Pelodiscus sinensis: one gene and its partner. The protein of the gene in region 2 purifies or fractionates together with the protein of the main gene of each other region. This does not show direct contact. Links are inferred from orthologs where the notes say so. Each region holds a gene or a part of one and is shown on either strand. Other genes may lie near its edges.

What was found.
Region 1: the proteins of KIFAP3 (region 2) and KIF3C purify together in Homo sapiens (co-immunoprecipitation; 3 studies listed by BioGRID and IntAct, counting the BioPlex papers as one, with this or other methods). This does not show direct contact. The link is inferred for Pelodiscus sinensis from reciprocal best matches to the Homo sapiens genes KIFAP3 and KIF3C.

What each region holds. Positions count from the first base shown.
Region 1 is NC_134713.1:157,807-165,711, reverse strand, and holds the start of KIF3C (kinesin-like protein KIF3C), read right to left. Parts: upstream 3,023-7,905; 5' UTR 2,733-3,022; coding exon 1,356-2,732; intron 1-1,355.
Region 2 is NC_134719.1:63,602,762-63,610,248, forward strand, and holds the start of KIFAP3 (kinesin-associated protein 3), read right to left. Parts: upstream 3,075-7,487; 5' UTR 2,978-3,074; coding exon 2,898-2,977; intron 2,479-2,897; exon of another isoform or gene 2,370-2,478; intron 2,286-2,369; exon of another isoform or gene 2,249-2,285; intron 1-2,248. UniProt on the Homo sapiens protein: Involved in tethering the chromosomes to the spindle pole and in chromosome movement. Binds to the tail domain of the KIF3A/KIF3B heterodimer to form a heterotrimeric KIF3 complex and may regulate the membrane binding of this complex.

The DNA of each region.
Region 1 (7,905 bases), on a different chromosome or scaffold from region 2:
GACTGTGCTGCAAGCCACATGCCCCCCACTCTGCACAGTGCAGCATGCTGGGGGGGGAGGGGACTGTGCTGCAAGCCACATGCCCCCCCCACTCTGCACAGTGCAGCATGCTGGGGGGGGAGGGGACTGTGCTGCAAGCCACATGCCCCCCACTCTGCACAGTGCAGCATGCTGGGGGGGCTGTGCCATGTGCCACGCCCCAGATCCACAGTCCCTACCACGGAGCCACAAGCTGCCTGGTCTCTGCCCCCGCGGGGCAGTCGGTGTGAGTCTCCGGCCAGGGCTGCGTAACACGAGCCGCCTCCCCCCAGGACCGTTGTGAGCTGGGGGGGCAGGAGGACACGGGGACCCCTGGGCTCCCCAGGCTGCAGCAGGGACACCGGGCCCCAGAGCCGAGCGGCAGCGCCTGGCGGCACCTCCCAGCGGGAGACAATAGGGAGGCAGAGGGCCTGGGGCTCCCACTGGCTCCGTGCCCAGCTGGGAGCTCCCCTCCCGGGGCGTCTGCAGCATCCCCGGCCCCGGCGCTGCCAGCACGTCGGCAGGAGGGAGCGGGGCCAGGACGCCTGACGGCCCTGACGAACTCAGCCCACCCTGCGCCCCCAGCCCGCCCCAGTGAGTGGGGCCACGCCAGGCAGCCAACAGCAGGGCGCTGTCCAGGGACCCACGGCAGCGCAGCACGTAAACAAGCCCAACGCTGCAGGTGCACCGCCCGGCCCGGCCCCCAGGCTCCAGCGCCCGGCCCGGCCCCCAGGCTCCAGCGCCCGGCCCGGCCCGCCCAGGGAAACAGGCCCCGCGCCTGGCCCCCAGGCTCCAGCGCCCAGCCTGGACCCCAGGCTCCAGCGCCCAGCCCGGCCCGCCCAGGGAAAAAGGCCCTGCGCCCGGCCTCCAGGCTCCAGCGCCCAGCCTGGACCCCAGGCTCCAGCGCCCGGCCCGGCCCGCCCAGGGAAAAAGGCCCTGCGCCCAGCCTCCAGGCTCCAGCGCCCAGCCTGGATCCCAGGCTCCAGCGCCCGGCCCGCCCAGGGAAACAGGCCCGGCCCCCAGGCTCCAGCGCCCGGCCCGGCCCGCCCAGGGAAAAAGGCCCTGCGCCCGGCCTCCAGGCTCCAGCGCCCAGCCTGGACCCCAGGCTCCAGCGCCCGGCCCGGCCCGCCCAGGGAAAAAGGCCCTGCGCCCGGCCTCCAGGCTCCAGCGCCCAGCCTGGATCCCAGGCTCCAGCGCCCGGCCCGCCCAGGGAAACAGGCCCGGCCCCCAGGCTCCAGCACCCGGCCCGGCCCCCAGGCTCCAGCGCCCGGCCCGGCCCCCAGGCTCCAGCGCCCGGCCCGCCCAGGGAAGCAGCCCCCCAGCACACCGACACTCACCTTGTACTTTGTGGCCAGCAGCTCGGTGGCCTCTTGCTCCCTCCTCAGCTCCTCAATCATCTTCTGCTTCTCCTCGCACACCAGGCTGTGGTCCCCCTGGATTGCCGCCTTCTCCTCCTCCAGCCGCTCCTCCTGCTCCTGCAAGTACTTCTCCAGCCCGTCCTCCGTGTCCTCGTCCCCGCCCGCCTCCGGGGCGGCCTCCCCCACCGCCACCTTCTTCCTGCGGCTGCTCCGCCTGCGCTTCCTGCCCAGCATGCCCCGGCGCTCCAGCTGGGCCTTGAGCCGGGCGATCTCCTCCTGGAACTCCCGCAGCAGCGTGTCCTTGGGGTCCTCGTTGACCCGGGGCTTGTTGCGGATGTTCTTGGCCCGGCTGGCGAAGCGCAGCGTGGACAGGCTCTCCTCGTAGCTGTGCGAGGCGGGGCCCAGGGTGGCCACCATGAGGGTCTTGGCGTTGCCGCCCAGGGAGTCCTGCAGGAGCCGGGTCAGCTTGGAGTCTCTGTAGGGCACGTGGGTGCTCTTGCCGTCCACCAGCGCCGAGATGACGTTGCCCAGCGCCGAGAGGGAGAGGTTAATCTTGGAGGCCTCCTTGGGCCGCTCCCCGGGCCCCCCCATTTTGCTCTGGCGCTCGCTGCCTGCCAAGTCCACCAGGTTGAGCTTGCCCACGCGGATGTGGTCCTCCCCGTCCGGGCCGGCCTGGCTGCACTCCACCGTGATGGCGAAGATGGCGTGGGAGCGCGAGCTGTGCTCGTTCATGTTGGTGCTGCCCACCGCCCGGGCCTGGCTGCCCAGGTTCATGACGTGCTCGATCTCCTTGACGCTCTTGGTCACGAAGGAGGAGAGGTCTTTGATGTAGACGCCCGTCTCCGGGTTCTCCTTCAGCTCCAGCTTCTTGCTCTGGTCCTTCGCCAGGAGGTCCCGGATCTCCTCCTGGTAGATCTCCAGGTAGGAGGCCCGCACCAGGTACTGCTGGTTGTGGGAGCGCGAGATGTGGGTGAAGACGTGCTCGAAGGAGCTGGGGATGACCCCGCGCTTCTCGGGGTCGGCCCAGGCCCCCTGCATGGTGTAGGTCTTGCCCGTGCCCGTCTGGCCGTAGGCGAGGATGGTGCCGTTGAAGCCCTGCAGGACGGAGTCGATCAGGGGCCGGACGCTCTCGTCGTACAGGTCGGCCTGCCTGGAGCTGGCGTCGTACACGGCGTCGAAGGTGAAGGTCTTGGCCAGCTCGCCGGGGGCGGCCCGGGGGTTGCGCAGGGTCACCTGGCCCAGCTTCACGTCCATCTCCAGGACCCTCTCGGCGCCGGCCGCCGCCTCCTTCCGGCTCATGGGGCGGCAGCGAGCCACGACCTTGAGGGCCTCGCTGGGCCGGGCTCTGCCGGCCATGGCGGGCGGGGGCCGGGGCAGGAGCGGGCGCGGGGCGGGGGCCGGGGCAGGAGCGGGCTGGGGGCGGGGGCCGGGGCAGGAGCGGGCGCGGGGGCCGGGCGGGGCGCTGCGCTGCGGCGGCTGCTGCGCTTCCCTGCCCGCCGGCTCCACCCTCCCTTTGTCAGGAGCGGACGGGACTAGGCGCAGCGCCCCCGGCCCGGCGCATCCCGCAGCCCGCAGCCCCGCTCGCTCGGTGCGCTGCGCTGCGCTGGGTGCTGCGCGCCCGGCCGGCTCGGAACGCCCTGCGCGCGGCGGGCGGGGCGGGTTGCGGGGGGCACGGACCGCCCCCCCCCCGCCCGGGCATGCCGGGAGCTGTAGTCCGGCTTTGTCCCGCCCCGCCCCGGCGCTCGGGAGGGTCCCCAAGGGGCTGGCGTGTCCCCGCCGCGAGGGACCCGCTCCAGGGTATGGGGGGAGGGGCAAGGATCCCGCTCCAGAGTATGGGGGGAGGGGCAAGGACCCCGCTCCAGGGTATGGGGGGAGGGGCAGGGGCAAGGACCCCGCTCCAGGGTATGGGGGGAGGGGCAAGGACCCCGCTCCAGGGGCATGGGGGGAGGGGCAAGGATCCCGCTCCAGGGGCATGGGGGGAGGGGCAAGGACCCCGCTCCAGAGGTATGGGGGGAGGGGCAAGGACCCCGCTCCAGGGGAATGGGGGGAGGGGCAAGGACCCCGCTCCAGGGGCATGGGGGGAGGGGCAAGGATCCCGCTCCAGGGGTATGGGGGGAGGGGCAAGGATCCCGCTCCAGGGGTATGGGGGGAGGGGCAAGGACCCCGCTCCAGGGGCATGGGGGGAGGGGCAAGGATCCCGCTCCAGGGTATGGGGGGAGGGGCAAGGACCCCGCTCCAGGGTATGGGGGGAGGGGCAGGGGCAAGGACCCCGCTCCAGGGTATGGGGGGAGGGGCAAGGATCCCGCTCCAGGGTGTGGGGGGAGGGGCAAGGACCCCGCTCCAGGGTGTGGGGGGAGGGGCAAGGACCCCGCTCCAGGGGCAGGGGGGGAGGAGCAGGGACCTCGCACACTCCAGCCCTTCGTTCCCCCATGGGCTGTGCCAAGGCCTTGCCACTCTCAGCACCTCCAGGGCGGTGGCTCGGCAGCCCCCGGCCGGTGCTCCTGGGCTCTCAGCCCGGGGGACGGGGCCCGGCTTGGGCCCCAGGCTCTGCAAGCTCTGGGCTCCCAGGGCCACCCAGCACCATGCTGGCGGGGGGCCAGGGCGCCACGTCCCAGGGAGCCAGGGTGCAGCTCTGCTCTCGCAGTTTTGGCCGGGGGGGGGGAACCCGAGCTGAGGTCCCCATGCCCGGAGCAGGAGCCCAGCCCAGACAGCCCCACACACGGGAGCCAGCGCCCTACCCTGACCCCCAGCCTCACCCCCGACTGAAGGCTGCGCCACGCCAGGCCCCACACATTTACACGGGGGGGGGGGAAGCACCCAAAGCATGGCAGCTGGGGTCCATCCCTAAGTGCCAGCCCTGGACTAGCGCCCTGGGCTCCGGTCACACAGCCCCTGCTCCTCGCTCCCTTTCAAGGGCCCTGGAGGGTCAGAGAAGCAGGGGCGCCACCGGGTGCCCCAGCCCTGCCACTGGCGGGTGCACCCTGGGGCACACGTGGGCGTCAGGCTCCACCGCAGCGTGGCTGGCGCTTGCCCACTGCTGTCCAGCGTCCGGTCTGCCCCCCGCAGGACAGAGCTCCCCTTTCGGGGCCCCCGAGCTCTGGTTTCCACACTGGATGCTCCTTTTTTAAGACTTCTGAGCACAAGCTCTGCCCCTCGCCACTCTCAGCTGCTGGAAGGTGCTTCCGCCTCGGGCAGGGCGCCAGAGCCATCTTCTGCCAGCTCGCCTGGGTCCCGGCTCTGCAGCCCGTGTTCTCCCCGCGGACGTCCGCCACCCCCGGCTGGATGGCGAGCGGCAGGGCAGAAGGCGGGTGCCGTGCAGCAGGGGTACGGCACCCCCCTCGGGTGTCCAGCCACAACTTTCAGTGCCACCTTTCTGAACGCCCATCGTCAGCGTGGGAGCCTGGCCTCTGGCGGGGGCAGAGCTGGTGGTAAATTCCTGGCAGCGCCGCCTACCCGCGTGCCCCGTCGCCGTTCCCCCCGAATGTAAACGCCGGTTTGGCTTGGATTGGGCCCCCTTGTCCGTGATCGGCAAAGGCCCCCAGGAGCCGCAGCGCTTTGCCGAACATGCGAGCGCTGCGTGGTCAGCGGGCGCGCTCTGCTGCTGACACAGCGAAGGCCTCGTGCGGGGGCGGAGGCTTTGTGTTCACAGGCCTGTTTGCACCGTCGGCTCTTAGCAGCAGGCCGGCGTTGGACCTGTGTGGCACAGACACGCCTGGAGCGACGGGCTGCAAGGGAGGTGGGGGTGTAGGCGCCCGAGTGCAGGCGTGCGACAAACCCCCAGGGCTGGAAGTTACACGCTCCCACTGAAGAGACCAGGGCTCGACTGCGGGGAACTGACCGTCCTTCTTCTTGGGCTTCTCATTGGCGAGGCAGCGGGGATCGGGGGCGCTCTTGCAGTCCCCGTGCTCACTCTGGGTGCGTGTTCACTGTGGCACGTGATGCCAGTGCCCTGTTCTGTAGTGACTCTGTGTGCGTGTGTCTGTGCGTGCGCCTCATAGAACCCCAGGAATGGAAGAGACCTCAGGAGGCATCGAGTCCAGCCCCTGCCCAAAGCCGGACCAGCCCCAATTCAATCAGCCCAGCCAGGCTTGGTCCAGCCAGGACTTAAACACCCCTAAGGATGGAGACTCCACCCCCTCCCCTGTTACCAGATTTGCCCAATACTCTGGGGTATGCTCATTTATCAGGGTTACCCTTATGGGACTGGGGGAAGGTTAACAGTTCTATCAGTGTGCTGTTGGTGCTTACTGGGGCTCTCATATGGAGCTGAATTCTCCCTGCTGCCAATTCCCCCTCCCACTGGAGCTCTCCTGCAGGAACTAGGTTCCTCAGGATGGGGTTCTTCCCACCTTAGCAACACACACAGACACTCACACACACTAGTCAGAGCACGTCTGAGAGGACTGGGTACTCAGCACTCACAAGCTGACCCCCTCCTATGTCCCTGGACTCAGCTGGCTGGGTTTCACAGCAATGCCACACTGCACCCTCATGTGCCTTTGGACTCCATGGGCTGGATTAAACAGCACTTTAAGCTGCCATCCTCATAAGCCCCCAGGTTCAGCACCCCCTATCCCCACTTTCACACCACAGTCATTCACTGGTAAACCACACGATGAGCAAACCCCACAGGATTTTGGGCACTACAGGGATCTTTTGCTTGGGTACAAGAAGCGTTGTTGCAGAGCGAATGGGGAAGTCAAAACCACACCCCTTAAGGAAGAGTGAGCAAAAGAGAAAGAAAGAGAGAGAAGCAACCAGCTTAACAATGAAAGTGATTTATTTCTGAGTAGTGAATAGATATCAAACAGTTACAATATTAAATCTAACAATTACAATATTAAATCTAAATTGAAGCTGCTTACAAATGTTAGGTAACCATATAACAGTTTACACAGGGCAGGGTCAGGAGGCTATGCTCAGAGAGATAGTTGAGAGAGAGAGAGAGAAAGAGAGAGAGAGAGAGACCTCACCACTCCACGGAGCTTGCACTGATCGGGGTTCCCAGATGATGATGGTAGCCGGGGGTCCAGAGGGCAGGAGAAAAGCAGGACAGAGCCCCCAGCACGATCAGACAGGAGATGAAGAAGTCTCAATGGAACTGATGCAGTTTAAGTCCAGGTATCAGAACAGTTTTCTTGGGACAAGGACAGGAGTTTTTATAGGGATAGTTCAAAGAGAAAGAGGAGAGACAATAGAGACTGATCACCCCTGGTTATGGGGGATGTTCCTTGAACGAGCTCACAATGCAACTAGGCAGTTTCAGTATTTTAGATGTCAATAGGATCGTTACTAGAATTGGTCTGATAATGACTAATTTGGGTGTGAGCAGGCCTAGGTTCATTAGCATCTGGAGCAGGGATTTCCCATCAGGCAGTGCTTCTCTGCTTTCGGTGTCCCATAGTTCAGTGCGGTTCCTGCCTTGGAAGAGCTGCTCTCCATTCTGTATGCTAATGAGATGTCCCTCTGTTCCATCTTTAATGCAAATGAGGCTGGGGTGTTTCCTTAATTGTATCACCCTTGTCTGAAGCAGTTTAGGTGTGTCTTCCCTGGCCTTTTCTTTGCTTTGTCTTTGATTCTAGCAGAGGCCTGAGGGAGGGGGATGGTTTTCCATGAATGTCACTCCCTGACTCCCCAAGAGCACAAGGCTGACAGGCGACCATGTTCTGGTTCCCCAAGAATCACAGAGGTGGTGGGTAACACCCCAGGGAACCCAGCACAGGGCTTCCCCACCCGCCTAGGGAAATCGTTTTTCCTAATATCCAACCTGGACCTTCCCCACTGCAACTAGACCCATTGCTCCTTGTTCTGCTTCTGCTACCACTGAGAACAGCCTCTCTCCATCCTCTTTGGAACCTCCCTTCAGGAAGTTGAAGGCTGCTCTCAAATCCCCCCTCACTCTTCGCTTCTGCAGACTAAACAGACCCAAATCCCTCAGCCTCTCCTCATAGGTCATGTGCTCCAGGCCCCTAATCATTTTGGTTGCCTCCGCTGGACCCTCTCCAATGCGTCCACATCCTTTTTGTAGTGGGGGCCCCAGAACTGGACACAACACTCCAGATGTGGCCTCACCAGAGCCGAATAAAGGGGAATGATGACATCTCTGGATCTGCTGGCAATGCTCCTCCTAATGCACCTAATATGCCATTAGCCTTCTTGGCTACAAGGGCGCCCTGGTGACTCATATCCAGCTTCTCATCCACTGTAACCCCCAGGTCCTTTTCTGCAGAACTGCTACTTAGCCAGTCGGTCCCAGCCTGTACCAATTCTTGGGATTCTTCCGTCCCAAGGGCAGGACTCTGCACTTGTCCTTGTTGAACCTCATCAGGTTTCTTTTGGCTCAAGTCTCTAACCCGTCTAGGTCCCTCTGGACCCTCTCCCTGCCCTCCAGCGTATCTACCTCTCCCCCAGCTTAGTGTCATGTGCAAACTTGCTGAGGGTGCAATCCATCCCCTCAGCCAGGTCACTAATAAAGATATTGAACAAAACCAGCCCTGGAACCGAGCCTTGGGGCACTCCACTAGAAACC
Region 2 (7,487 bases):
AACCGAGTCATGAACCAGGAACTCATTGTGGTAGGCACTATGCAAACACAGCGCACAAAAGGTGGAGACTGTAAGCCCTAACGAGGTAGTCTGAGGCCTTGTTTATACTCCCTGGGGTCTTCAAGCTAAGTGACACAACTTCAGTTGTGTGAATAATGTAGCTGAAGTCGAGGTACTTAGATTTAATTACCACTGTATCTTCAGTGCAGTAATTCAACAGCTGATTCTCTTTTCCACTTGCCTACTCTTCTCGTTTTGGTGGAGTACCAGAATCAATGGGAAAGTGTTCGGTGGTTGATTTATCGTGTCTGTACTAGACATGCTAAATTGACCGCTGCTGGATCAATCACTGCTTATCAATCCAACAGGTAGTGAAGGCATGGCTTACCAAAGCACCATAGCCCCAATATTACATAAGAACAGCCATACTTGGTCAGACTTGTGTCCATCTGGCCTAGAATCCTGTCTTCCAACAGTGGCCAATGCCAGGTGCTTCAGGGGGAATGAACAGAACAGGGCAATTATTGAATGACATATCCCTGGTTATCCACTTCCAGCTTCTGGTGAATACCAAGAGCATGATGTTGCAAAACATCTTGCAAAACGTGTGGGCATTTTTACGCAAATTGGGATAATTTGGCAAATACAGGTTGAACCTCTCTAATCCGGCACCCTCATGGATCTGACCAATGTTGAACCAGAGAATTTGCAAAACCACGAGAGGTCAATATTGTCTAGCAGCATTACCAACACTTCCCCTACTTGCTGGGCTCTCAGAAGACATTTAGGGGTAAATTAGAGCTAAATAACAGTACAGAACACTGAGAGCCAGGCCTGGCGGCTGTAAACTTTATGGGACTGTGGGAAACTTGGCTGCCCCAATACGTGGCCATCCGGCTAACTCAAATCATGCTGGACCACGGATGTTGCCAGACCAGAGAATGCCAGATTAGAGAGGTTCAACCTGTACAATCTTTTTTAAAATGTCAACCCTTCTAGGTTCTGTTCTGACTATGCCCGTGCCACACGAGGAAAGATGCCAATATTCATTTCACAGTGCTAATAAGAGAAGATACATTTGTTTGGGAAAGTGCCAACATAAGGCCAGAAACCCAGCTGCCTTTTCAGCAGCCTTTTGTGGGCCAACAGCTAGTATGAATTCACTTTCTTTTATCAAAAAGTGCATTTAGACACTAATTTAGTGTTCTAATTTAGCTTTTACACTGACAGGACCTCAGTTGCTGCTGGAAGGGGAGCCTGACAGTTAAAAGCTTTCACTTGTTCTCCTTTGCTTTCCCCCGCAAATCTCTTCGTGCCCACATTATTGCTGCTTATCATCAGAGTTTCTCACGTCGCAAATTGCACCTCATGCGTGTAAGTGTTGTTGCTGGGGGGAAAGCAGGGATGAGTCCCAGCTGTGTGCTTTTGAGAGTTGGTTCACAGCCGTGGCATCATGAAAAAGCCCCAGCTCATCAATCAGAAGGCGACTTTGGATAACCAGGGTTCCCAGCCAGATTCTAATAAAGCAGGGTGGGTTCTTAGCTGCATAGTTCCAGGTCCTTTTTTTTCCTTCCAGCAAAGAAAATTAACCCCCATTCTGCTTGAAGTCTGGTGCGGACTTTCCAAAATTCCCCATGAAAAGTTGGGTTTTCTGTCATTATGACCCCGCAAAACAGAAACAGCTCTTAAAAATATGTATAACATCAAGTTTCTGATTCAGCCTCCGTCCCTTGCTGCTGGCTGCAGTATGCGGCTCTGACCTAGCAGCAATGCTACCAACGTCTAGTGTGAATTGTGTCCTACTCTTCCTTCATTCCTAACTTCCTCTCACCAATAATCTTGCTACAGCCTCCTCTACCTTACCTGTTGCCCCATATCTTCTCCTATCTGTCTCAGATTGTAAAGCCTTTCGGCCAATAGAGTTTAAAGAGAAGCTGGATAAATTCATGGAGGTTAGGTCCATAAAAGGCTATTAGCCAGGGGATAAAATGGTGTCCTTGGCCTCTGTTTGTCAGAGGCTGGAGAGGGATGGCAGGAGACAAATCGCTTGATCATTGTCTTCGGTCCACCCTCTCTGGGGCACCTGGTGCTGGCCACTGTCGGTAGACAGGCTACTGGGCTAGATGGACCTTTGGTCTGACCCAGTACGGCCGTTCTTATGTTCTTATGTTCATTAGTCTAATGTATCAGCATTGAGGGGTAACTAGTTTGGGAGCCTTCTAATAGGACTTCCTGCCTTTTATTGCAGTAGTCGCCAGAATCCAGCAGAGAAGCAGGATATACAGGTATTTAGACTTTGTATGGCCGTATATAATTAGAAAACTGTGATGATTCCCTGTAATTTTCTTGTATCTTTCGTTTTTCTGTAGAACATTAAGACACAACAGGCCTTTGAAACCTTGTCTCGGGAACCAACCAACTCAGATTCCTTAGCTGGAGCAGCCTTCTAATCAACGTGGAGTAGACTCATGTCTAGAGGTGCGTACTCATGAGGTAAATTCTAGAGGCAGGTGTGTATATGAGCTCTTGGACAGGCTACATTGCAAAATTGATTCAAAACAGGCATAAATATCATGAATAAGTCCCCAAAACTCTGCATGCTACAGTGGGCTAATGGTGGGAAGTGTGAATGTGCAGTCAAGGAAGAGAAATGACAGGCAGTCTTGGAGCTCTGAGGGAGGCTAAAAGGACCCCGCTGAAGGGGAGAAATCCCATAAGGCCACAAAGGGCATAGGATTGATGCACCGGATGGGATTATTGGTCCCCCTAATCTGGAGTTCTGCCTTCCACAATGTTCTCAACCCGATGGGTCAGTGGAGCAGGAGTGAGCCAGCTTTTCTAAATGTTTCCCTGCCAGCCACCCCTTCAGCAGTTCCCACGGGACTAGAGAGTGTTACCTGGTTACAATATTTGGGAGGGGATCCAGGGTCTGGTCCTGTGTGGGAGCCGTCCCCATCGTGGCCAGCTGTGCTATCATCTTTCCACCGCTCCTGTGGGGCGCGCTCACATTGCGGGTCACAGCCCTTGGGCAGCCTCAGCTGAAAAGGCCGTTTAAAGCCAAACCTTCTTGCTTGATTACTCGCCCCGGGGCTCAGACCCGGCACACAACTGGGCTGAACTGTGACATCACGATGACTCGCTGCCATGGCTGAAGAGCCGTGGGTGGGATGGGGAAGGTTGCAGTGGGCAAGCCGGTACTGATTTGTCCGTCTTCTTTCCACACCTTCCCAGCCCGACCTGTAAAACATCCATCCGGCATCATTTTTGGAAAGCAAATGTGGGATCTGTTGTCCTCCTGATGTGTCAGGAGACAGTTTTAATGCACGTAACCTCCTGGAATCTTTAATCTGCCTTTACCTGAGCTCTGAATTGTTTCTGGTCCCATTGTGGGGATCCCTGTAACTGATTCCATTCTTTTCTTACATCCCCGGACCATGGATCCTAAAGTAAGTATAGACAAGCCCTAAGGCAGAGCTGGCTGCAAAGCAAAGGTACTGCATACCAGGTGTGTTTCACAATCAGCGGATCAACAGCGCTCTCTGAATACCTGTTTGTTTGTTTGGGGTTTTGTTTTGAAAGATTTCAGACCAGCTGGTTCTAAGTAAAACCTGGGCTGGGGGGCAGCTGAAAGAAAAGAATTAACAATGGGAGAAAGCGGAGCAGAGAGGGAAAGAGGGTGAGCGTTATTGAAAGAACCAAGGCAGGAGAAGAGGAAGTGAAAGGAAACATGATGAGAGGGATGTATGGAGACGGGGAAATAAAAAGATGTGCAATGGCATGAAAGAGAGACTGGGAGAAAAGCAAGAATTTGAAGAGTGATCTCAAAAGACAGAGGCTAGACAGGAATCGTGAAGCCACCTACAATTACAGATTAGAGCAAGGCTCCTGACTTCAACATGGCACGGCCCGTTAGTTTGCGGCATGTGGTACAGTTTGGGTTTGTATGGGGCTCAACACACAACCCACAGGTGGGAGCCAAAACAAAAAAGTAGTCAATATAATGGTCTTCTGTTGATGTGCGTTTTAGTAGTTAAATTCCTGGACTGTCATTGCTCGTTAAAAGTGCTGGCATATGAGTGGAAATCAGGTAAATATTGCATTTTACTAATATCAGCAGAATGGACTTAAATGGGGCCTGCGTGTTGTGTAGTCTTGCCTTAATCTTTGTATTCATGCCTGTCAGTGTGAAAGAAGCTATTTGCATAAATTTGCATATATATTTGCATGTACGTGCAACCATACTTAAGTTGTGGCCCTCAGCATGTGCTGCGAGTATCATTGTTGTCCCCGGAGCTTCCAAAGTTGAGTAGCCCTGGGTTATAGTGTAAAGTGTGCTGTATATAGCATTGATCTGGTTTCTATTTGTATTTCATTCTAATTGCAGAGGCAGCTCCTATTTTTGTTCAGACCGTGGTTGGTTGAAATGTTTTTGCTGAAACTTTTTTTTTTCCTTAATGAAAAATAGCTTTTTGACCAAAATGAAATGTTTGTGTGTGTAAATATTATGATTTTAGAGTGGAAACCATCTGTCTTTTATTTCTCCTTCCTCTGCTTTTTTTTCTTTGTCCCCACTTTTCCAGGGGCAGAAAGAAAAGCAAGGGGAAGGATAAAAGGAAGAAGGAAAATGGAAAACCAAACGTTTGGGTTTCATGGAATGAAACGTCCAAAATCTTACACCAATTTTTTAATCCAAGTGAAAAATTTTCATCCCCGTTTGAAATTTTTCACTGAAAACATAGAATTTCTCAGCTCGGACACAGGCTGCTGCAGGAGAGGCTCACACACTGTGCTCTCTCTCAGGGAAACTTTATTTTTGTTCCTTCTTGTTTTGTTGCTCTTTGCATATAAAAGAAAGGTCATCCCGACTCAAAGGATATGGATGTCCTTTGGGCACGATCAAGTCAACAGGAATCTTTCCGTGAACATCAGTGGTACTTGAGGTAAGTGGAAGGACTCTGATTTGCTTCAGAGCCTGACTGAATCTTTTGGGGTTTATTCAGTTTCTTAGTGAAAAACAGACTAAACCAACCTAGCAACATTGTTTCTCACTGGAAAACAAAACTATTACAAATTGAATAGAGTACAGGAGACCCTCGTAATCTAAGGTCTCTCCCTCTGTACCCTCTTCTGCATGGTGAATCCTGGGTCTGTCTCTTAAGGGAAAATGTGGCTGCATGTCTGTTCTGTGGCCCTCTTGTAAATGAATGGTCTGTATAAAAATCCTCTTGGAAACTTAGTAGCTAAAATAAAAGGTTGTTGCCTGATAAGGTGACTAACTAACCACAATAAGGGTTCACACCCAGACAGTCCTAGGGGGAGAATTCCTGGAGGCCTCACGTGCAGTCTCATCGTTACCGATTGGGTAGTAAACACTCAGCTTAAATATTTACATTAGAAAGAAACAGTGAGAAAAGACGAAGCAAAATCGGATACGCTAAGGGGAAGTCTGGTCAAAAAGTCCAAGTCTCTTTAATCTCTCCTCAGATGGGACCCGTTCCAAACCCCTCATCATTTTAGTTGCCTTTCTCTGAACCTTTTCTAAAGCCAGTATATCTAATGCCTGATCCTCAGGTTTTCCCCTAATTCAGTTCCCATCTGTGAATTGTTTGGGTCAGTCCTGTCTTGCGGCCTCTCCTGTGTAATTTTAGCAGCTACAGGTGCCTCCTGTTTGATACCCAGAACTCTGGGCGGATACAAAATTGCTATCTGTATCTGCAGAAATGAGCTGTGGGTATTTGCATCCACATTCGCAGATCCGATACCCGTGGATGGGAAACGGATATCCGCAAATTTGCAGGATTCTAGGTACAAAATTGGTTTCTGCATCCATAGCTGCAAAAATGAGCTGCAGGTATTCACATCCGGCTACCTGCAGATGCAAAGCAAATACCTGCACATTTGCAGGGTTCTCTTGGTACGTGTTCTCCTAGACATCTTTACAGGCATCGTCATATAAGTGCACAAACTAGTCTGTCTCCTGCACTAAGGGGCACACCAGCCACATTAGCTATGTGCCTGTCTTCCTCCCACCCCCCGGTGAACGTTAGGTAGCTACCTACACACATCTACCACTAAAACACAATGTACTAAAGGTGGAGTTTGATTTGACCAAGGCCTTTTCATCTATAAAGCACTTCTCATCCTTGGCTCTCGAATATTAGAGACATCGTACAAACTCTGTCCTTAGCTCACCCGGCTCAGCCTGAGTATGCACCTCCTCTGGTATAAAATTTCCCAAGGGTGACAGGGACGTAGCAATTGTCTTACAGTGAGACAAGTAGTTGGCTTTTCAGGGCCGAAGAAGGAAAGACCTGGAAGGTTGCGAGGTCCACTCCAGAAGAGCCAATCCAGAAATGCTTACGACAGCTTCCCCTCTTGAATTTTTCTCTTGCATATTATGCCAGTCTCAGAGGTCTCCGAACTCAAAAGCATTGCTCATAAAAGAAGTTAACAGCATTGCTCATAAAAAGAAATTCGGGCTAGTAGTCAATGTGGAAGGGAGAAAACACGCAAAAACATTGGAACTGAATCAGTTACGTTACCAAATGAAACAAAGTTAAGAGACTTTTTTCCCTGATAAAAGTGGGGGATGCCATAGCAGTTTTCTTTTGCAATAAGCTCATTTTTAATGTTATCATTTTGTAATAGGAAAAAACCCCTACATTTAAAGTTTGCCTCATGCAAATGTTACTTGCTAGCTTTCTTGCTAATCCAGAGGAAATATTATCCTAGGAATCCCCCAGGCCCAATGTCTAGGTGTCGGATACATGATAAACTTACCTGAAGCCTTTTTAGTGAGATATAGTTCTCTGGAGATAGCTGAGGATTTAATTTTCCAAGGCTTGGTACGACCTAACCCTTTAAAAATAAGATTTAAATGTTCCTTGTCAGGTCACTTACAAGTTTCTTCTTTTATTTTTGATTAACTGCTTGCTCAGACTCCTAATCCCCAGCTTTGGCAAGAAGACGTTAGCCACCTCAAACTTTTCATGTCTTGATTATGATACAGTTCCGGGGGACTCTGCACACATGCTACTTTTTAACTGCGTGAGTCCTGGAATGGGATGGGACGCAGTTACTCAAAGCCAATGGTGTCTTCAGATTCTACTCTCAGTTTTGAACTGAGGTGATTTTCCAGATTCTGCATTGTTCCTGTGTTTTCGAGCCGCATTTCATAGGAGGTCGTATCTGGATTCCTTGGAATCCATGTCCCCATGTGTCCCAAGTTTTCAGACCAAGTGAGGCACAAAGCTTGAAGTAACTTGCCAAAGGTCTCACCCCAAGGCAGTGGCAGAGCCAACAATAGAATCCAGCTCTCCTGATGGTCGGCTGCATGTAACACCCACTTCTTTTCTTCCCTCTACCAACCAATGGTCCACGTACCCGTACTGCTTTGTGGTGTGGCAGATTATGGTGGGAAACTCCTCCCAGATTGGCGTGTGCACACACACACTTGTCTGTTTCACTCACCCGCTGGTCAGCAGTGA